Linked DNA regions of Lonchura striata. The protein of the gene in region 2 purifies or fractionates together with the protein of the main gene of each other region. This does not show direct contact. Links are inferred from orthologs where the notes say so. Each region holds a gene or a part of one and is shown on either strand. Other genes may lie near its edges. The genes, in order: MLF2 and DNAJB6.

Region 1 (11,223 bases), on a different chromosome or scaffold from region 2:
CTGCATGATGTGGGCCCTGTCCCTGATGTGGTGTCCAATCGACATCTGTTCCAAGCCGCTGTCCGAGTCCCTGACGGTTCGTCTTGTCTCACGGATCTGGGGGAAGATTCCCACGTGGAAACAACATTTTCATTCCTTCTCCCAGCCCCCTAAGGCACCCCGATTCCTGCCTCCAGTATTTCAGGCAATTGGCACTGCCACTACTCCCAGGATGTCAGACGCAACATTACGAAGAGGGAAGAATGGGTTCCCCACTGCCAGCTCTTCCCATTTCCTCCCAGGGGCCCTTGGCACGGTTCAGTGAGTCACAAGAGCACAATGTGCTCCTCGAACTGCAGCTGACTGCAAAGCCGAAGTGCTGTAGGTGGCCACCCACAAAGCCACCAAACAAAGCCCAACCCCTCACAGCAAAGCCAGCAGCCTCCTCCTTACCCCGCCAGGTGCTGAACGCATCTCTGAGGTCTCCTGATAGACTTTGGGCCCATCACCCAGGTTGGAATAAGAGATGACAGTTGAGGAGGTAAATGTCTGGCAGTTAGCACCACTTGTCATATGCTCCTGCAAGAAGGAATGGGGAATGGTGGAAAGAAAGGATGGGAGGGAAGAAGAGATAGCATTTAATTCCCTCTCTACAATGAAGTAAGAAGTTACAATAGGATGAATATAATCCCCATGGGGCCATTTTTTCTGGAGAATACACCTTTCTGTTAAATTAATACTTATTTCTTGCTAAACATGTCCACCCACACGCTTCCTTCCTCACCCCTCTCCTCTCCCTGCACTCAGGAACAAGTCCTGTCACTGACTCCCAGCGATGAAGCAAAGCTTACAGCCTCTGCCACCTTGGCAGGTGTGGCTCAGTCAGTAAGAGACATTAGAGGGATGGCAGAAGTACCCTCAGGACTCCCCTCAATACAGAACAGTTCATGGAGGGTTCTTACCATGTTTCCAATCATGTCGTTCATCATCCCAAACATATCTATAAAGCCACCTGCCTAATAAAAAGGAAAAGAAAACACAAGAGTAGTCAGTCTGGGAAGAAACATGAGGAAAGAACAACAAACTATCTGCAAAAAAATCTGCTGCCTAAGAAGAAGAACCTTTGGTTTTTCTTCACGTTCTTTCAGTAGCGCAGGAAAAAAAAAGCCAACAGAATTTGGGGTTGCTGTTCTCTCCATTCTCTCAGGCTGCATTGCCCAATGTTCTGGCAAAGGTTGTTCTTTTAGCTTGGATCCAACTGCCGATGCACTGGGGTTTGTAAGCCTGGGGACTCAGCAAAGTTAGGAGAATGATTCTCAGCATGTGCACTAACAGTGATCTTAAGAAAGTTTCCACTGATTGTTTTCTTTCTAGCATAAAAACAAATTTGCTTATTTTCCCCTACAAACACCTGCCTTTTCCACTCTTTAAACCTGAACACTGCAGTAACACCCTGGGCCAGCAAGTCTCACAGGTTAATTGTGCAATATGTAAACAAAATTACAATGTCAGTTCAAACTTGCTGATTTCTTTTTTTTTTGTTTCCTCGAGTAGCCTCTTGTTCTCGTTTCCAGCAGAGCAGTACTCACACACAATGTTATTATGCTTTGAAGTCTATGTGTTTGTAGTCTTATTAATCCTCCTCTGAGCTACAAAAATTCCAGGACGCTGGAGTCTCTTTCATTGAGGCAATTCTGCAGAGCAAGGCAGCTGAAGTTGCTGGATCTGGAATAACCTATTTGCACTGTATTATTTCGGCGGAAGACGGAGATCAGCACGCTCCGAGTGCGGTGTTCTCACGTACACACAGCCATTCTCATTCCAGCCCTGCTTACCTGAAGAATTCTGCTGGCTTCTCCAGCTGCCACCACTGGCAAAGGAGGTGCAATAATCCCCTCTGTCTACTGATGGCCAAGTCCTTTCCTCCCATCCTCACAGCTCCTCCATTACCTCCAGCTCTGCAGCTTCTTTTCAGACATATGAGGTTATTAAGGGACTACCTGCTCTTCCCAGATATTAACTGTCCCAATTCCCATGAAATATTGTGCTATAACAGCTTTATGACTTTTCCCTGGTCAAGGTGCAAATACAACTTCCCCATATACACAGAGTTAGACTCTCTCTTCAAAAACAGCTCACGGACAGGATTAAAACATTAGAGGGGAAACAAGGTAAAGGCCTGAAGTCATAAAACAACTCAATGAGAGGTCCAGGAGAAACCAGATGCTTCCAGTTTCAGTTCAATACCTTCTTCCCTATTCCATTTACTATAAATCTAAAGCTCATCCTGGTATCCTCAGACATTTCCATCCTCCCCACCTGGTAGGATAGCTGGTCACGCTCACAGATGGCTACATTTTAGCACCGGTTGCACACAGTGCTGATGAATCTCAGTATGGAGCCACTACTTGGAAAGCCTCTAATCTGACCCAGAAAAACAGAAAACTTACCATGCCGAGCATCCCAAAGGGTGAAACAGCTCCTGCCTGCCAGGAGAACAGAAAAGCAGAACAGAGAATGACTTTGCAACAGCCAAACACTAGATCCTCATCAGAACACAATAATCCTTCTCAGAAACAGAACTGGGAACACTCAGGCTCTACAAACAGATCAAGAAAGCACCCCACGGATTCCTGGCGTTCAAGCCATATCACCCCTGATGAACCAGACATGAGGTGATGCTCCTAAATTTCTCCCCATTATATGAATTCACATCCTTGAGAAACAACACGTATTTATTCCTTTCCTCCCGCCCAACCTAGAACACTGTTGCCTTCAACACCTTAATACAGGTGGAATAAAGAGAAGGACCAGAACACCACTGCCTAAGAGATTTATTCTGCACCTGTGTGGAGGAGAGGGGGCGTGCCCAAGCCAGGAGGGGTGGGAGACAGAAAGTGACAGATCAGTTTGGGAAATTCTAGCCTGTACTCAGCCTGCGTTACCTGCATCCTGCGGCCAGCCTGGCGAGCCCCAGGTGTGGTGCCATCCGTGATGCCGAGGAGCGGCCCGAACCCGAAACTCCCAGACAGCATGCGGTTCATGTGCTGCCGGTGGATGGCAAAAGGATCCCTTTTGGAGAGGTGGAGAGAACAATGGTGAGGATAAAGCCCCATATAATCCGCTCCTCCCAGCTCTGTGTTTTTCTTACACAACTGTACAGTCCTTCCCAAGCTGGAAATTGAGAATCCTGTGTAGTCTGTGTTGTCTATGGTGATTACAGGGGCTGGAAGGGATCTCTGGATCCAATCACATTTCTTGTGATAGAAGGTTTCATACCGCAGAAACCCTCTCAGGTACTAATTTCTGTCTGCTCAGAAGCAGGTTGGTGTTCTGCTTCAGTAGTGCTCTGGAGCCAAGTATGGTCAAAACCACTCCAAAACCTCAATGCTCCAACATCTTTTAGAGGGAGGTGCACAAAGACCTTCCTGGCTGCAAGGTGAGGGCTACACTTAGGCACCAGGGAGCAAGAGAATCCCATATATCATCCCCTCACCCTTCCATGTACACAGACACAAACAGTGAAATGCAAGACTGGAACCTCCAGACTGTACTGCACAGCCTGGCATCCCTCTGCCCCCCAGGGCGTGAGACCACATACAGCTTTTCCAGATTTGAGGGAGAAAGGGAACAATAACTGGGATCCCTAACTGGTTTTCCCTTCTCTTTCAGCCTCCACTTTGAGGGCTGCACACACTCACACAGGTTGGTGAAGCAAGAGGAGGAAAAGGAGGGTAAGGGTAAAGAGTCATAGAACAGGGTGGCCACAATAAGAAACTTCTGGGAAATACCATAGCTTTTTTCCTGCTCATCTTGTAGCCTGCAATTATCCCTCTTGAGTTTTAATGACCTCTATAGCACAGATTATTCCTGAGATGACAGAAGCACCCACTACTTAAATACTTAAAACCAATACTTTTCTGTCTCTACTGGAAATGCTTCCCATAATAAAAGCTAGACTCATACCTGTCATGTTAATGAGAACACACTGTCATTCGGTGACTAACTGGGACATCAAGGTCTCCTCTCCTGCTAATTTGCTCACAGCTGATAAAATTCTTGCTTACTATTGATTTAATAAATTGACTATTCTTCTACATACATAAATTTCACCAAATTTCTACTAATGTCTTGTTTAACATAATCAAATTCTTCCTGTATTACAGTCTATTCCTTTTCCACTTTAGCAAGGCTGCCAACTTAAGCGTCACTGCCAAAATTTATCAATAGCATCCAATTTCTGTACTGAGGACAGAAACAAAAACATTCAGTGAAAGGAATCCCAGGAACAGCTCTTGGGAGCTTTGTCAGATTTCAATACTTGTGTTTCAAAACCACTCGTTGTTTTGTCTTTACTTTGTTCCTCACAACTTGACAACTGCTTCAGCAGCCTTCTCCAGCTCCATTAATGACTTCCTGTGCAGAACAGCAACAAACACTGGACAGAGCAGCAGATTTTATCTATCTCAACTGCAACCCTAGTTTGCATAATGAAACAAAAAAAAATCCTTGCGCAAAGAAAAAGATTAGTTATGATTCCAGCCCTCTCTTCCTCTCAAGACAGCTGCGATGCCTTTTGGCCTACTTTGTTACGCTTTCCTCCAAGACCACGCTGCCGTAGCGCAGAAAGGAGTCGGACGCGGTCGCTGCTGCCGGGCGCGCTGCCCCTCCGGAGGATGTCTGCGTCCGTCCCCGGAGAGCTGCGCTGCTGCGGCGGCGCTCCCGGCCCGCCCGGCCCGGCCCGGCCCGGCCCGGCCCGCCGGCGGGACGCGGGCAGCGCGCCCCTCCCCGGGGGCGCTCCGTGCCGCAGCCCTGCCGCCGACCCCCCGCAGGACGCCCACCCCGACTCACATGGCAAACATGGGGTCCTCCGGCTCGCCATCCCGCATCAGCCGGAACATGCTTCCCTCGCTCGGGGGCGGCCTCTGCGGAGCGGAGAGGGCGGTGAGCGCAGCCGGGGCTGAGGGCGGGCGGGGCGGAGCGCGGAGCCGCCCCCCCGCCCCGCCCCGCCCCGCCCCGCCCCGCCCCGCCGCCAGCCGGGGCGGGTGATGGCACCGCTGCCCCCCGGGCCCGGCCCACCCGCCGCGCCCCCGCCCCGCCGTGCCTGCCGGTGCCGGCGGTCCCGGTTCGGCGCTGCCCGAGCCCCCGGGCCGCTCACGCCCCCGCGCCCATCGCGCCCCGCACCGCGCTGCCTCCGCCCCGCCCGCGCCGCGCATGCGCGCCCGCCCCGGGGCAGGGCGCGGGCGGGGCGGGGCCGCGCGGCACAGCGCCCCCTGGCGCCCCCGCGGGCGGCGCCCCCGGCCCCAGCTCCCGCCGGGCAGCCCGGGAACGGGAATGGGAGTGGGAGTGGGAGTGGGAGTGGGAGTGGGAGTGGGAGTGGGAGTGGGAGTGGGAGTGGGAATGGGAGTGGGAGTGGGAATGGGAGTGGGAGTGGGAGTGGGAGTGGGAGTGGGAATGGGAGTGGGAATGGGAATGGGAATGGGAATGGGAATGGGAATGGGAATGGTAATGGTAATGGGAATGGGAATGGGAATGGGAGTGGGAGTGGGAGTGGGAATGGGAATGGGAGTGGGAATGGTAGTGGGAATGGGAATGGGAATGGGAGTGGGAATGGGAGTGGGAATGGGAATGGGAATGGGAATGGGAATGGGAGTGGGAGTGGGAATGGTAATGGGAATGGGAATGGGAATGGGAATGGGAATGGGAATGGGAGTGGGAGTGGGAGTGGGAGTGGGAATGGTAATGGGAATGGGAATGGGAATGGGAATGGGAATGGGAATGGGAGTGGGAGTGGGAATGGGAGTGGGAGTGGGAATGGGAATGGGAACGGGAGTGGTAATGGGAGTGGGAATGGGAATGAGATTGGGTATGGGAGTGGGAATGGGAGTGGGAATGGGAATGGGAGTGGGAATGGGAATGGGAGTGGGTATGGGAGTGGTAATGGAAGTGAGAACGGGAATGGGAGTGGGAACGGGAGTGGTAATGGGAATGGGAATGGGAATGGGAGTGGGAGTGGTAATGGGAGTGGGAATGGGAATGGGAGTGGGAGTGGTAATGGGAGTGGGAATGGGAATGAGATTGGGTATGGGAGTGGGAATGGGAGTGGGAATGGGAATGGGAGTGGGAATGGGAATGGGAGTGGGTATGGGAGTGGTAATGGAAGTGAGAACGGGAATGGGAATGGGAACGGGAGTGGTAATGGGAGTGGGAATGGGAATGGGAGTGGGAGTGGTAATGGGAGTGGGAGTGGGAGTGGGAATGGGAATGGGAGTGGTAATGGTAATAGTAATGGGAGTGGGAGTGGGAATGGGAATGGGAACGGGAACGAGAACGGGAGTGGGAATGGGAGTGGGAATGGGAGTGGGAATGGGAGTGGGAGTGGGAGTGGGAGTGGGAGTGGGAGTGGGAGTGGGAGTAGGAATGGGAATGGGAGGATGCAGTGGTAACGGAGGCACCGGGCAGGCCCCGTCGCTCTGCTCAGCCTCCCCAGCAGGGCCAGCGCGGGGGCAGGCACTGATCGCTTCTCTCTGTGGCAGGACCCGTGGGAATGGCCTGAGCTTGTGTCAGGGGAGGTCTAGGCTGGATATCAGGCAAAGGTTTTTAACCCATGGGGTAGCTGGGCATTCGAACAGGCTCCCCAGGAAAGCAGCCACAGCACTAAGCCTGACAGAATTCAAGATGTGTTTGGACAACACTCTCAGGCACATGGTGTGACTCTTGGTGATGGTCCTGTGAAGGGCCAGGAGCTGGACTTGACGATCCTGTGGGTCCCTTCCAACTCGGAATATTCTGTGATTCTGTAGTAATCCCTGTGGCTCGCGGCCAGCTGGTTCCTGGCCAGAGTCCACAGCGTTGCCTGGCTGCTGCAGAGGCAGCACTTATCCCAGGCTTCCTGCATGGCATGGGCACGTAGGAGGCACCCACAGAGCTGCTCGTCTGTGCTGAGCACATGGACAGCGAGTGCACGCAGTGCTCTGCTGGGGAAGCAGGGAGGATACTTTGTAAGCCAGCTGTGGGTCATCACTGATCCTGGACAGCCACTGGGAATCACAGGCACAGCTTAGGTACTTGTGTGCACCTACTGCAGTGGTGGGGAGTCTCCAGAAAGCAGGGGGATGACACCTCTGTCACCATCTCTGGGGAGTGCTGGGTCCCTTCAGCTACCACCAGCCCCACTGGATTACAGGGAAGAGAGCAGACTGACTCATCCCAGCTCCAGCCCAGGGCACGCTTCCTCACTGGTGCTTCTGGTGACTGTTGCATCCGGCCCACCACGTGTAGGAGCCAGACTGGATTCGTGCCAGAGGACTGGAAATAGCAGGCTGCAAGAAGTGGTTGAGAAACGGAGCTCCTGAGTTGTGGCAGGAGCCATGTCCTTGGATTTTGGAGCCTGACAGAGGAAAATGACCCAGTAGCATGCTTCACGTGTGGAATGCATAGAGGACTTGGCAATATTTCTTGCTACAGCAGGTCTCAAAACTGCTCAGTATTGAGAAAGAAGACCTCTCACGGGAGGCCTGTGCCTGTGTGCATACAGAAAGCTCTTCAGAAGTCCCTTCTGTGTACGCAGTAATTGCATTCTGCAGAGGCTGAAACCAAAACGTCCACAAAAGGGGAACTGTCAACAGCAAAATGGTGCAGGATCGTGATGTGGACACAAGTCCTATGGGAAGGGCCAAACCTCTTGGAGGGAGGTTGTTTGTAAGTGAGCTGCTGACTCTGACTCCTGTCACCAGCTCAGAACTCATCTGTGAGTGCTGAAGTTCACACAAAGCCCTTGGTGGTGCTGCCTCAACTTCTCTGATGCTGCTTCTGCAAACCTGAATCATCCTTCAGAGACCTCCAGTCTGGAAAGCCTTTCCTGTCTGGTGTGTTTTCCTTTTGTTCTGAGGCGCTCTGGTGTTTGATTGGAGTGCGGAGTTGACCTCAAGTGTCAGGATGCAAAGGCAGGTAAAGATCTTCTAGGGCAGAAATGTAAACATCTCTTTTGGTTTTCTTCTTTTTTTTTTTTTTTCTTTCTTTCTTCTTTTCTCCAGATCTGGGATAAAATAAATTCCTGGTCCCTGGATACTAGTGATCCTCCCACTCCTGCAATGTCCCAGAGATGGTAGGGCTCTCTCAGTTTTTCCAAAGTATAAGTCAGGCATTGCTGCCTTCAAACACAGAGGGGAAAGGAACAGGAAATTGTCTGGAACAAACACGGCTCTGCAGATCCTTTTTTCTGTCCCTAATGCTGCTCCTCTGCAAGTGCAACCTAAGGGCTGAGTTTGTGAGGTTGGGGGCTGAGGCTGTGGCTCTCCCTGGGTATTTCTGCAGCCTTACAGGCAGTCCTTACACCTGATGGACGCTTTACCAGAGGCTGCATTTCCGGGGCCATTGCCAGTTCAGCAAACCTCGAGGTCTGCCGAAACCACCATGCGCAAACCTTGCTCGCAGAGATTCACGGTGATAGCAAACGCTGCGTGAAACCCTGGGAGCGGGAATTAGAACGGCAACCTTTCTGTGGAATTTGGACAAGGGCACGGTCGTGAGGAATGCAGGATCTGTTGCTGCAGTGCCCGAGGTGCTCCGAGGGGATGGCCAGAACAACGAGCGACACGGGGCTGTGAGTGAGAAGCAAGGCTCCCATCTCGCTCCCCTCTATTCAGGCCGCTTCTCTTTTCGCCATGAACAAGAACCATGATGTCTCTCCGTTTCCTTTCTTTATTCCCTCTGAGCTGCCCGGGCCGTGCCGGGGCGGCGGGGGCGGGGAGCAGCGCTCGGCGGGCGGCGCGGCGGCGGCGAGCGAAGGGCGGCTCGGAAGGCGATGAACGGCGCCGCTGCCCGGCCCCGCCTCGCCTGCCCGCGGCACCCCCGGCACCCCCAGGGGTTTTTCCCGGCCCCGGGAAAGCGAACTGAGCATCGCCTGGCGGAGGCAAATAAAGGCAGGGTGAGAAACCCTGCCTCGCTACCTGCTGCCGGCACGCACCCAGCGCTGGGGCCGGGAACAGCTTCGTAACGCGCCCGAACGCCGCAGAGGAGCCCCGTGGACGTCTGGAAGACAAAGAAAACCTCGTTACCAGAAGTCAGAGCTACCCACAGCCATTTCCTCATTGGTTCCCTTCATCTGTGCCTCTTACGTAATCCTCACCCAACAACTGACTCTGACCTCAGATGAAGGGCACCCCGAGTGAAGGACAGCTCTGATTTGATCCTCAAATGGGAAAAATCATATTCGGGATGCTACAGCCAGCTTGTGGTGGCTGCAGCTTGCGTTGCGTGGCAGCGATTACTTTCAGAATATTTTGCTCGTGTTAAGAGTGTGTCTGTCACACTGTGAGTGAGAACCACGACCTCCCATCTGTGCTGCGTTAGCAAAGACAGGCTCACAAAAAAATCACGATTGAAAACATCCCTCCTCTTTCCAGTCTTCTGACAGGCTGTGTCACCCCTTGTCATTCCCTTCTACTCCTCTTGCTTCTTCTCCTTGTTTTACCTACCCTGCTTCCCAGCCCTCCTGCAGGGCTTATTTAAATATGCTGCCTCTCAGGAAGCCATTTCCCAATGCAAAGTTGGCCGGTGGTTGAATTCTTGGGTCTTTCCTCTTAACTTCACTATATGGCATAGCGGAAGAAGAACAAAGCGGATTATCTGCTGGGATTTTTAGTGGACACAGTACAGAAAGATGAACAGCGTGACTTAAATACATAAATGCATTCAAGCAGATTCCCTCTGCACACTGAGATTTTGCTACTTTTGCTGTACGTGAAAGGACAGATATTCTGCATTTATGTAAATCTAAGAAAATTTAATGCAAATACACATCCTTCTGCTCTTTTGTTATTCAGCAAACAGTTTGGAACCACTTAGGAGTTAGCTCAGTAAATATAATTCTTAAAATACCCAGTTTTTGTGTTTTGCTTTTGCTCAGAAAATGGCTCGCAGTTAGTTCAGCCTTCAAAATAAACACAAAAGTCACCATCCCCTCTGCCCCCATCAGAACATAGTGGCATGACTAGCAAGGTAATAGACCAAAATGCATAAATAATTGCTTCTAGGTGCATTCACCCCACATTTGCTGGGAGAAGAAAAATAGATACCACGCATGAAAGCCCTAACACATCTCAACCACGTGCTCACGTATGTTGGCAAATGCCTGCAAGCTCAAGGCACACCTCAGTAGAAAAGTACCATACTTTCTACACTCACAAAAGTAAAAGAATGTAACAGGGGGAAAATATCCCCTCTGTACACAACCAGGTATGTACTGCACCTAAACACATGCGCACACCTACATAAACACCAAGCACAAACAGGGTACAGTACCAAAATTGTGACACTGCACGGAGAAAATTACATTCCCATTGTTGTCTGGGCTGCAGGCAGACACGGAGAGTGTCTGTTCCACACAATGATCTGTCATGTAACTTCTGCACCTCCCTCATTTTGTCTAAGGACATAAGTCTCCAAAAAGGATGGAATATGTTCTGCTGAGTTGGCAAAGCAACTACAGACAAAGACTACGGAACGCACTGAGCAGAGACTGACATCTGCAGAGCTCACAATGAGTGTACTTGCATTTGCAGCAGAGGGGAAGGCACAGATGGGAGAGAGGAGCAGAGAAAAGCTGCAGATCAATCTGGCAGGCGAAATGCAGAGTGGCACAGATCAGGTGGAGGAGCAGAAGTCACAGGGAAGAGCTAGGTGAGACAGTCAGTGGATATCCTCAGGGCTTGAGGGAGGCAGCTGCACACTAGAAGCCCAGCAAATCTCACTACCAGGATCCAAAGGGCAAGAAGAGTCAGAATGCAGAAACAGGCAGATGACAAGGAATGAAGAAGAATTTAATGTTGGATTTAAGGGGAAAAGCATAGTTGATACAATAATGCAGGGCAAAATGGGACATGAAAAACAAAGGAGGGGATGTGAAATGAATTTTGCATGTAAGATACAGGATGTCACAAAGAGAAGCCGGGGAGAGGGCCATGGGGAGAGTGCTGCCAAGAACACAGGTAGGAGACAAATGCCAAGAAGCAGCAGATGAGGGAAAAATTGCAAAGGGGATGGGGTGGGGAGCATGGAAGTGACAATGTGAAGTTGCACACTGCAGGTGCTGGGGAGGAAAGGAGAGCTTGCTGCTGCCATGCCAGTTTGTAGTTGACCCATGCTGACCCAACAGCGCCATCCCACAGGTAGCTGGAAACAAGCTCCCCTTGCACAAACAGGTGTTTGTCAATTTGCATCTGTGGGTTCGCAGCCTGTGTG
Region 2 (11,079 bases):
AGAAACCATTAAAAAAGAGTGAGCCAACCAAAAATGGAAACAGAAGAAATTCAAACTCTTCATCTGTGAAAGAAATGTAAACTGGCTAACAAATAACAGGAAAGGATGTTGATCAGTCAACAGGCCACCCTCACTCTCTTGAGCTGAGACTCTCCTCTGTTTATCCATCTGATCTCTGATAATGGGGGACTTACTAATGATCTTTCCTTAAAGCAAAGGAGCAAAACAACTCAGGTGTCCAAATTTGGAATTGTGTCACAAATATCTGGAACACTGTCACTTTCCTAAAACTAACCATAAAAGGCTATTTTATAGGAAGTAAAAGTCATGTTTTATTTCAAAAAATATATGATCTGCATATGATTAAGCAATTAAAAATAGTGAAAGCCTCAACTGAAAGACATGGCCCAGAAAGTTTTAGGCAAATCACATGCAGACAATCCTTTAGGGAAACGAAAACAGGGAAAATAGTTCAAAGTTTCTACACATTTCCCCTGAACTGTTTTTGAGTCATGATTACTTTATTTAAGCCAAACAAAAAGAAAAAAGAAAAATAAGCTTCATTAAAGCAAAGAGTAAGTTCTTATCAGAGTGTTGACAGACTTACCAATTCAGACTACATTTTAAGATAAAAAGAACAATTCTGATGAGAAAAATTAATGTTTTAATAAAAACTTGCTACAGTGTAGCTATAAATGGCTTCAGACTTACTATATGGCCTTTAAGATCCTTAAGTACTGAGTACTCACTAACACCAGTGGGATTTCAGTATTCAGAACAAATAGAAAACAAAACCTACAACTAGTAACTGTAGGAGTGTAATGTATATGCATGAATTATTTTTTCCCTAGCAGTTAAATAAATAAAGCAGAATGATTTCATTACGTCTAAAGTAAAGAAAGTCTAACATCCATTGAAATGTATTTCATTCAGAAGAAAATATAATTTAAACTACTAATACCCTCAACTAGAGTTTTATTTTAAATCTATCCTAAAAGAAACAAGCATCATATGCAAGATCCAACAAGTTTTGGCAAAGCTAAGTAATTTCTCACTAATCTTTCCATTGCTTGAAAAAGACAAAGGAAAAGCTTTGTCAGGAAATGTTTCCAGGACACAACTGAGGAGATTCTTTACAAATGCTATTAGAGATATGGAGCACTACCTACTTAAGGAGCACATCGCTTAAACATAAACCTCACACAGCTAAGTCTAAAATTACAGCAACGAATTCCCTTCAGAGCATGGCTCCACATTTCAGAAGCGGTGGATGTGCCCCGGGAAGTCTGAGTGCAGTGCGGGCTGTGCAGTGCAGGGCGGGCCGTGCCCTCCCGGGCTCGCAGGGCTGTGCAGGGTGGGCTGTGCCCTCCCGGGCTCGCAGGGGCCGGGCCGTGCCCTCCCGGGCTCGCAGGGGCCGGGCCGTGCCCTCCCGGGCTCGCAGGGGCCGGGCCGTGCCCTCCCGGGCTCGCAGGGGCGCGGACATTTCCGCCCGTGCCGGGCTCCGGAGCGGGCAGAGCGCACCCGCCGCCCCCGCTCGCAGACCTCGCTGCGCCAACGAGCGCGTTGAGGCACAGACGCACAACAGACCAAAAACCTGGTGGTCGTTTCTCGTGCGCTGTTAGGAACGCCTATATCCTACATAAAATGATGATGATGATTTAACGTAAATTATTCCCTCTCCTCGCATACATTCCAAAACTTCTAATGGATAAAAGAAAGAATAGAGTTCGCAAAGAAATCTATTCATCTATTTTTAAAAAGTCAGTACCAAAACACGTTAGCCTCTAACTAAAACTTCAGTGTTACACAAAAGTAAAGCCCTGCATGCCTTCTTCCCAAGCTCTGCCAAGATAAATTAGCAATCTGCATCGATCTGGGAAGGACAGAGAAAATAACCAGAGAGAGAAGCTGCCTGGATAAGAATCTGCTGTAGTTTGAAAGCACAAGTACTAAAAAGACAAGCCTGATGGAGAACAAGGGGAACTCTGCACTTTACAGATTTAGTTTACATTATTAGTAGCATTGTAGTCTAAACAGTGCTGCCAATAAAAGCAGCAATTTAAATTTCTACTCTAATAGAGATTATTTAAGAAAATTTAACACTAATTTAACTTCTATTTTCAACACTCTTATTCTCCACTGAGAAGTCAGCACAGGAGCCAAGGGGAGTACACAAAGTTAGACTAGTGTTGTGCAATAGTTAAAATTCTGGTTGTTTGCAATAAAAAAAGTAATCACGCAGACAAGATCTGTAAATACACTTATTCATTGGTCCAAACAAATCTTCTTTGACAACATAATCCATCAAACTAAATGGTATTTTCACTATTAGGCTCTTGATCACCAGCTGAACATAAAATCCCTAACTGGAGTACAAGGATCTCCAAAGAGTAAACAAAAATTAAGGTCAGCAGACAGCAGTGACTGCAACCTCTGCTGCAAGACCAGAGAGGCAGAGCCTTGCTTCATCCCAGTGGTCCCTTATGTCAGCACCTTGTTCTTATCACTTTTTGACACTTTATACTCTAAAAACTCTTGGGTTTGATCACTGACTATGCAATGACACAAGTCTAACTATTTGCACATAGTAAACGCAGATTTCATGCTACCGTGCCTAAATAAGTAGTTTATTATTACCACAATTTAGAACAGATTTGTTCAGTATTGTGAATTATTTCTAACACCTTTGTTAGCATGGTCGCAGCACGTTTTCAGCAGCCAAGGAGAGCTCAGACAGCAACACAACACAAAGCGTTGGTGCAAACAGGAACGCGAGTGGTAAACCCAGCCTGCTGTCCCCTCTGAAGTGCAACAAATACTGACGACAAACAGTGTTCCTTACCTGGCAGTATCAGTTTTCACCTCGGCTCGGAACCTGGCAACAGCGAGCTCAAAACACCCGACCTCTGCCGACCTCACCCACAACAAACCTCCCTCCTGCCGGCACCCCGAGTAATCAACACTGAGCAACGAAACCGAACTGCTTCCATCGGGGGAGAATCACAGCTCGTTTGGCGTACGGTCACCAGGGGTGGAAAACGCCTCTGAGATCACCCAGGGCAAACACCCCCAACACCGCCACCGAGATCACCCAGGGCAAACACCCCCCAACACCGCCACCGAGATCACCCAGGGCAAACACCCCCCAACACCGCCTCTGAGATCACCCAGGGCAAACACCCCCAACACCGCCACTGAGATTATCCAGGGCAAACACCCCCAACACCGCCACTGAGATCACCCAGGGCAAACACCCCCAACACCGCCACTGAGATCACCCAGGGCAAACACCCCCCAACACCGCCACCGAGATCACCCAGGGCAAAGACCCCCCAACACCGCCACTGAGATTATCCAGGGCAAACACCCCCCAACACCGCCTCTGAGATTATCCAGGGCAAACACCCCCCAACACCGCCACCGAGATCACCCAGGGCAAACATCCCCAACACCGCCTCTGAGATCACCCAGGGCAAACACCCCCCAACACCGCCACTGCGTCCCTTAACCACAAACCCGCCCCGCGCCACATCCAGCCGCTCCCGAACACTTCCAAAGCTGCCGACTCCACCACCACCCTAGGCAACCTATTCCAATGGCTGGCCACCCTAAATGTGAACTATTTTTTACACTATCTAATCTGAATCACGCCGTCTCATCTTAAGGCCATTTCCACTGATCCTCTCTCTGTCTGCAGGCACGGCCCGCAGCTCATCGCCATCTCCTTTCAGGGACTGGCAGAAAAAAGGAGGCCACAACGCTCGCAAGCCGCCCAGGCAGCACCCTGCGACAAAAAGCGCTTTAAGGACAAGGTGTGTTTAACGAAACGAGGCTCGCCCTCATCCCCTGGGAGTTGACACCCCTGTGAGCAAGGAATGGGAATCCGGAATTTTTTTTCTGCCTTGCGGCAGAGCGGGCTGGCACCGAACGTCCCGGGGTTTGTCCCGCCGGGGGCAGCCCTGGCCAGCCGCTGCCTCCCCGAGCTCCCAGCGACCCCCGAGCCCCGCCAAGGCCGAGCAGAGCCGCCGCGGCACCCGCGGCCGCTCCACCGCCGCCAGCAGGCCCCGCTACCAGGCACGCCGCTGCCCGGCACCGCGGCCCGGCCAAGCGGCCGCTCCCCGCCGCCCTCCGCCCGCCGCACGGCCGCGGCCGGGCAGCCCCGGGCCGAGGTCCCCGCGCTCACCCGCCGGTGGCTCCGCAGCGCGGCCGCCGCTCCCCGCCCGCCGCTCCCGCCGGCACCAACGGCAGCGGCCGCAAACAGGAAGTGCCGCCAGCGCGCGCCGCCGCTTCCGCCCCGCCGCTTCCGGAAGTTTCTGGAACGGCCCCGCCGGGCTCCCGTGCGAGCGGAGAGCGCCCCCTGCCGGCGGCCCGCGGCGCCGGGGCGGGGCTTCTGAGGGCCGGGTGTGCAGCAAAACAGGCAAAAAAGAAAAAGAAAAAGGTTAAGAAACCTTCTTTGAATAGCTGAGAAGTGAGATGGCAAAAATTCTTCCACTTTTGTGTCTGTACTCTCAAAAACTGGGGGTGGCAAGAGCATGGACAAGGCTCTGCTCCAGCAAGAGGAGATGAGGCAATGGGCAGAAACTGAGGCACGGAATTTCCACCTGAACGTGAGGGAGAACTTCTTTAGTGTGCAGTGACCGTGCACTGGAACAGGCTGCCCAGAGGAGCTGTGGAGTCTCCCACACTGGGTATTCCAGAGCCATCTAAACACAATCCTGTGCCACGGGCTCTGGGATCACCCTTCCAGCCTGACCCCTGCTGGGATTCTGTGAGGGAATTGCAAAAAGTGATGCCTGGGTGTGGTGCTGTAGGAAAAGGTGAAAAAACAACAATTTTAACAAACATTCTTTGAATAGGTGAGTTTGGGTGCTCAAGGTGAGATACCAAAAATTTTTCCCCTTTGTGTGTTTAAAGTTGGAGTCTCAAAAATTGTAACTCTGGCACACAATTCCTTTGAGGTCAGATTCCTCTCCATGCATGTAGCGCCCTGCACTGGCTGAATATATTGGAGCATCCTTTGTGTTATATTCAAGTATGTGGTTTTCTGAGTGCCATGGTTGAGAGCAAAGTATAAAGCAACAAAGTTACTATTTTAATTCTAAAATATAGATTTTATCCATGCTTTAAATTGCTGTAAAATTATATTTCTTGCCCCTAATTTAAAAAGTGGAGGCATTAATTTATAGCTCACCAAAATGAAGTTAGAGAGTTTCCACGCCTAAAATGTATGCTTCCAAAATAAATTCAATGAAAAGGCTACGCATTATTTAGGAAGTGTTTGTGTGGGAGTGGGGTCAGTTCAAAAAGACAAAAGCCAGCTTGCAATAAGGAAGAGGAAAACCTAAAACAAATCAGCAGGACAAGTAGTAGGACAACCCTAAGTACAGGCTTGGTGCTTTGGGGAAATGCAAGCTTCAAAAGAAATACTGTTGATTGTTGATGCTATGTTGTGGTCGTGGAAACAATTCTTCAAAATTAGAGCAGAGAGACACCTCACTCCATTATTAGTTTCTCATCAGCAAGTAGCTGTGAAGTCCAAGTTGTTGGTCCACTGGGAAAGAAAACACCCAAAGGATTAGTGGGTTAGACTGGCTCTTCCTAATGGGCCAAGTTCAGACCTCAGAGGATTCACAGCCTGGCAAATGCAAAGGCAGGTCAGTATTGTGAGGTGAGGGAGGAGACCATACAAAATTTTGATTTAATCCTTTAAACATTTCTTGTTCTTGAAATAATGGTTTTTCTCCAGCCTTTCATTACCAATTACAGGGGAGAAAAAAAGTGAAGAGTACTAAAACCTGAGCTGTAGTAAACAAGACAAAAGTCACACGAGGAAGTCTCTTTGCTTTAATAAGAGCAGATTTTATATTTACAGTTAAATATGATGGATGCCAACCATAAAACTTTCTGTTTAGCCAAGCAAGCAGAACATGGCAAAGAAGCATGATTCCATATGGAACTAGAGGGTTGGAATCAAAACACTGCCTGCATCAATGCAACCAGGACCATGGCTTCTTTAACACAATTTGTTATCATTACATTAATCTGCCCAGCGATTTTCTAACACTGTTCTGACTCTAAACAGCATAGCCCTGCTTTAGCATCCTTCAGATACAGGAATAACATTTGGGAAAGCTTAGAGACCAATTTTGCATTTGGAGAAAGGAAGGTATGAGAAGGTAAATTGCCTGCTCATAGCTGAGGGCAGCGTAGTTTAGCATTTTCTACAGCAAAACACTGAGAATGTTAATAAATGTTTCCTAACAAAGTTATAGATGAAAACAAAATAATTATTTTTTAAATAAAAAAAATTTAATTGGTTTATGCTTGTCTTTGAAAAAGATAAGAAGACATTTCCCAATACTTCTCTGAAGAGGCAGTTTACAGAGCCACCAATTACAAATATAATTTATTAGGGGATCTCTTTTTTTTTAACTTATGGTCATTGATAGCTCAGATTATCTCCTGAACAATAACAAGAATTATTTACTTTTTAAACATTTGCTCAAATTGGCACACAATATTTAATTTTCTGTTCTCTGTTACAGGGAAAGGCAGGTGATTTCAATTAAAATAGCATGTGGCAAAGCCCACCAGAAGAGGTACTGCAGGGGATACCGAAGCACACACATCCAGGATTGCCCTGGTTGAACTTCAAATGGTTGGTGATTGCCCAGCCCTCTGATTTGTCTGGGTCTCTGCAGGGCCTCCCTTCCCTCAAGGGAGTCAGCAACTCCTCCCAGTTTAGTGTCCTTGGCAAACTTAGTTAGTATCCCATCCGAGTCATTGATGAGGATGTTGAGGAGCGCAGGGCTGAGGCTGGGCCCTGTGGAACCCCAGTGGGGACAGGACACCAGCCTGCTGTCACCCCATCCACTGCAACCCTTGGTGCTGACCCGTGAGCCAAACGCTCGCCCATCCCATGATGTGTTTATCCAGCTGTGTGCTGGACATTTTGTCCACAAGGATCCTGGGAGAGAGAGTACTGAATGTTTTATTGAAATCCAAAAGGATTGCATAACTGGCTCATTAACATTTTTAATTAGCTCTATGTATAGGACTAATAAAACTGAAAAGCTTTTTGATTCAGAACACCTTCAAAGGTATTTTCAAAAGTATGAAGTCAAAGTGTCCTGTGTTTTTATGGCTTGCTGCTTGCAGCAGAAGCCTGGAGTTGCTGGCAGAGCATCAACATTCCAATAACAAAAGAGGGTCTGTGGGTCTGTTAAAGCTGGTATCAGAGATCCAGGCTGATATCCAAGTGCCAAGTCATTGAGTCAGAGTAAAGCTGCTATCAAAGAATCTTAATTGTTTAAGAATTTTCAACTCTCCTCTGGGAACATGAGAGAAAGGTTTTGTCATCTCACCCAAATTCAGCTGTCTCGAACATCCAGTTCAAGGCCATTGACTGTGAAGAGAGGGGAGGAGAGGACACATCCAGGGCTCAGTTCCTTCCACCCTCTTTGGAGATGTGTTTTAGGAAAGGAACCACCCACCAGAGCTCTGTCCCAGGGCTGCCTTTTCTCCCTAAATGCCACCTCACAGATGCCTGAAGTTAAGTGAGATGAATTCAGCCCTAACTGGCAGCTATAACCTAATGATGGAAATCACGTGGCAGTGTTCCAGGAGGTATTGGCAATTCACAGGGTTCCCAGATGCTTTTTTTAAACCATCTTTCATGATTTATGGAGGTCAATTATATAAAGCCCATCAGAACACAAGAAATGTTTAAAAATGCTGCATTAGAGAGACATTAATGTTAATCCTCCTGAGGTGGTAATGGCTGTAGCCTTCCCAGCCTGCTGCTCTGCCCTGCTGTGTAATGCATCCCGTTCTTCTATTTACAGATTTACAGATTCTATTTTTGGTGTTAACAAAGAATATGAGCATATGTATCAAAGACTGTTCTCATATCATCTAATTATAGTACTGCTGGCAAAGTAATTCTGGAAAGTGCCACTTAATTAAATGTAAGCATTAACTTTTTCCTGATAGTTTATCAGAAACAATTAGACTTGAAATATGTGCAATACACCTAGAGTTTAAAACTTTCAGTAGAAGCATTAAAAGCACAAAATAACCCAATTTCTCTTGCATTCTCCAGTGTTTTCCTGCTGAGCACAACCTCAGTTTTCATCTGTAGTGTGTGTGTCTTAGGTAATCTAGAGGCTGCAAGTTTATCTGGACTCCTCTTTGTGTGCAAAAAGCTGAGCTAAGAGAATGCTTTTGAAAGTACTTAAACCACTTCAGCATAGTTGATGCTTCTGCCAATTCCTCCTGAAATATCAGATCTATTTTGCTGACTATTTGAGGTCTGCACAAAACAACCCAGAACTGTTTGGGGCAGTCAGACAATCTCACAGCTTATGCAAAATGCTTATTCTTTGCAAGGACAGCTTGATCAGCACTTATGTTCATTAACTTGATCAGGGATATGCTTTTTTGTCCATGTGACAATGTGAAATATTAGTTAATTCCATGTAATTTTTTATCAATAGCCAGATAGATCTACCAGATAATTATACCTAAAGTATCTCTGCAGAACTTTGAGGTCTGCTGCTTTTTACCTGAAAAGTGAAGAGGGGAAAAAAGAAAAACAGAGCTGTAATGAAAATAATTCCTAAGTAAAGATACAAGGTCTAAAAGAAACAATTCCTTCAGAAGGTTTGTTTGACAACATACAGCAAAACTACATAGCAACTGAGAGAGATGCTTTTCCCAGGTCTAACATTTTGGCAAGCAGCAGTAGCAGGAGGATCTGAAATAACACCATCTGGTGAATGCCTGTTTCTTTCTTCAGCAACCAAGAACTATGTATAACTATAAACAAGGAATAAAATAGAAATAATGCAAAACTACTTTTCAGTTAAATGTTACACAGAATGAACAAACAGCTGCTCTGGGAATGCAGAAAAGAATGATGTTAAATATAGTAGGAAATTTGAGCATGCTGCTCCTATAAATACATGAACCAACTTTGCACACAGAATTTATGATTCTGCAGAGCTGTGGACAGGGAAGCTTAGGCCCAGACTGGAGAGCAACTATTCTGGCAATAAATGTAGCAACGATTTAATCATCACACAAGGAGAGCTCATCCCTTGACAGTGTGAAATCAAGCTGCAGGACATCTCTGCCTGCCTTTATGTCCCATTTTTTGCCAGTCAGAATGCCTATGTTTCTCCTATTTGACAGTCTGATGTGATTTGCTGAATTTTGGGCTACTCGACCTTCAGAAGACAGTCAAAATACAGGAGTTTGCACAAGATGTTGCACTTGGGTGTTTGATACTGTTGGTGGCAGAAGCAAATAAACAGTTAGGTGATTTAACATTAATCCTATGGCTTTTATATCAATATTTAGCAACCTATCTATAAACATTTGTGAAAATAACTCAGAGATCAGTTTTTACAAAGTCTGCTATTTTACATTGATAAGAGTTTTGCAAAATCCTTGAAAAGTCAAAGCAGAACTGGAAGTTGAAAAAGTAAAGCCACAAAATCTTAAATCCAACCTTACCTGGTAAGTGCCACTGATTAACCACCACAGGAATCTGGTAAGGAAGAGACTGTCACTTAACTCAGTCCCCAGTCACATCAAACTCTACAAAAGGTATTTTGAAGATGCTGCTGGGGTCACTAACAAGGCAGAGCAAGATGATTGAGGTTTTGGAGGCCGTGTCATATGATGAGAGGCTGATGCTGTTCAGCCTGGAAAAGGCTCAGCTTCCTTAGTACTGCCCCACAGGACAAGAGGCAAGGGGCACAAATTGGAATACAAGAAATGTGTTTAAACATGATTTTAAAGGTTTTATTGTGAAGTTAATTGAACACTGAAAACAGATTGCACAGAGAAGTTGTGGATTCTCCATCCAAGAAGACATTCAGAACTCCACAGGTGAAGGTCTTGCAACCTGCTGTAGGTGACCCTGCTTTGAGCTGGGGGTTGGAAGAGGTGATCTCCAGACATTCCTCCTGACTTCAGCTATTCTATGTTCTCTCTAATGGATTCAATTTGTCTAACTTCATGATCACTTCTTGCCTTGTTTTGTCTCTCTATACACATGAGAAATTTAATGCCCTTTCCAGACTACCAGATACATACTGAAAAACAGGTCAGATACATGGGCATTTGTCTTTTTATTAATGTTACAAATTAGCAAATGCCCTACAAGAGGAGTTTTCTGTAGTTTTATGTCTACCACATTTTTAGTAGCAGGTAAGCTGAAGCATATATGCTGCTATTTCTAAACATTCAAAAATAAATATGCACCATACTAACTATAAATATTAAAAGAACTAAAAGTGTATTTAGCAAAGAAAATAATAAATAAGCAAAGGGAAGAAGATTAAGTCTAATTATCAAAGGAGATAAAACTAAATTGTACCTTCAAAGGAGCCCACATGTGCTAGAATTCCAGAAACAGTTGAGACATTTTTGTGTTTGCTGACAGAAATTTTTGTGTTTGCTGAAGAGTAGCATTCTTCACTATCAATTCCAGCTTCTCAGACTTCTATCCATGGAGTTTTATTCTTTCCAAAGATTCTGAACAAGTTTTCACAAATCAGAGCAAGTGCATTGTTTGAAAGACACCCTGAAAACAACGGTAAACTTCAGAGCTGCAGCTTCCTTGCCAGAGTGGGAAATCACAGCTCGAAAGCTGAAGGGTAGGAACCATCCCAAAGCAGCAGAACCACAGGAATGTTTAAGTTGGAAAACAGCGATGACTGAGCCCAGCCATTAACCCAGCACTGCCAATCCCACCATGTGAACCAAGTCCCTCAGTGACACATCAACAGGAATTTTTAATTCCTCCATGAATGGTGACTCCAGCACTGCCTCGGATGGCCAGTTCCAACAGTAATCCCTTCAAGACCAACAAGCAGTTAATATTACATTCTTTTAGAACCTAATTAGTATCATCAGTTTTTAACAAGAGAATGCCCAATTTACTGCAAAAATGAAAGAGTGTTTCTGCAGAGTTTCAATAAAACTCAAATTATTTTATTCACAAAAGCAGAAGTCAATAAAAATATAGATATCCTGATCAATTTTACAGACCATATTCTTCACTCCTTCACT

What was found.
Region 1: the proteins of DNAJB6 (region 2) and MLF2 purify together in Homo sapiens (affinity purification with mass spectrometry; 3 studies listed by BioGRID and IntAct, with this or other methods). This does not show direct contact. The link is inferred for Lonchura striata from reciprocal best matches to the Homo sapiens genes DNAJB6 and MLF2.

The regions. Positions count from the first base shown.
Region 1 is NC_134604.1:29,630,287-29,641,509, forward strand, and holds the start of MLF2 (myeloid leukemia factor 2), read right to left. Parts: upstream 5,197-11,223; 5' UTR 5,164-5,196; exon of another isoform or gene 5,084-5,163; intron 4,905-5,083; 5' UTR 4,881-4,904; coding exon 4,831-4,880; intron 3,052-4,830; coding exon 2,925-3,051; intron 2,466-2,924; coding exon 2,430-2,465; intron 996-2,429; coding exon 942-995; intron 559-941; coding exon 433-558; intron 97-432; coding exon 1-96.
Region 2 is NC_134603.1:148,334,422-148,345,500, forward strand, and holds the start of DNAJB6 (dnaJ homolog subfamily B member 6), read right to left. Parts: upstream 4,296-11,079; 5' UTR 4,184-4,295; intron 3,091-4,183; exon of another isoform or gene 2,843-3,090; intron 1-2,842. UniProt on the Homo sapiens protein: Has a stimulatory effect on the ATPase activity of HSP70 in a dose-dependent and time-dependent manner and hence acts as a co-chaperone of HSP70. Plays an indispensable role in the organization of KRT8/KRT18 filaments.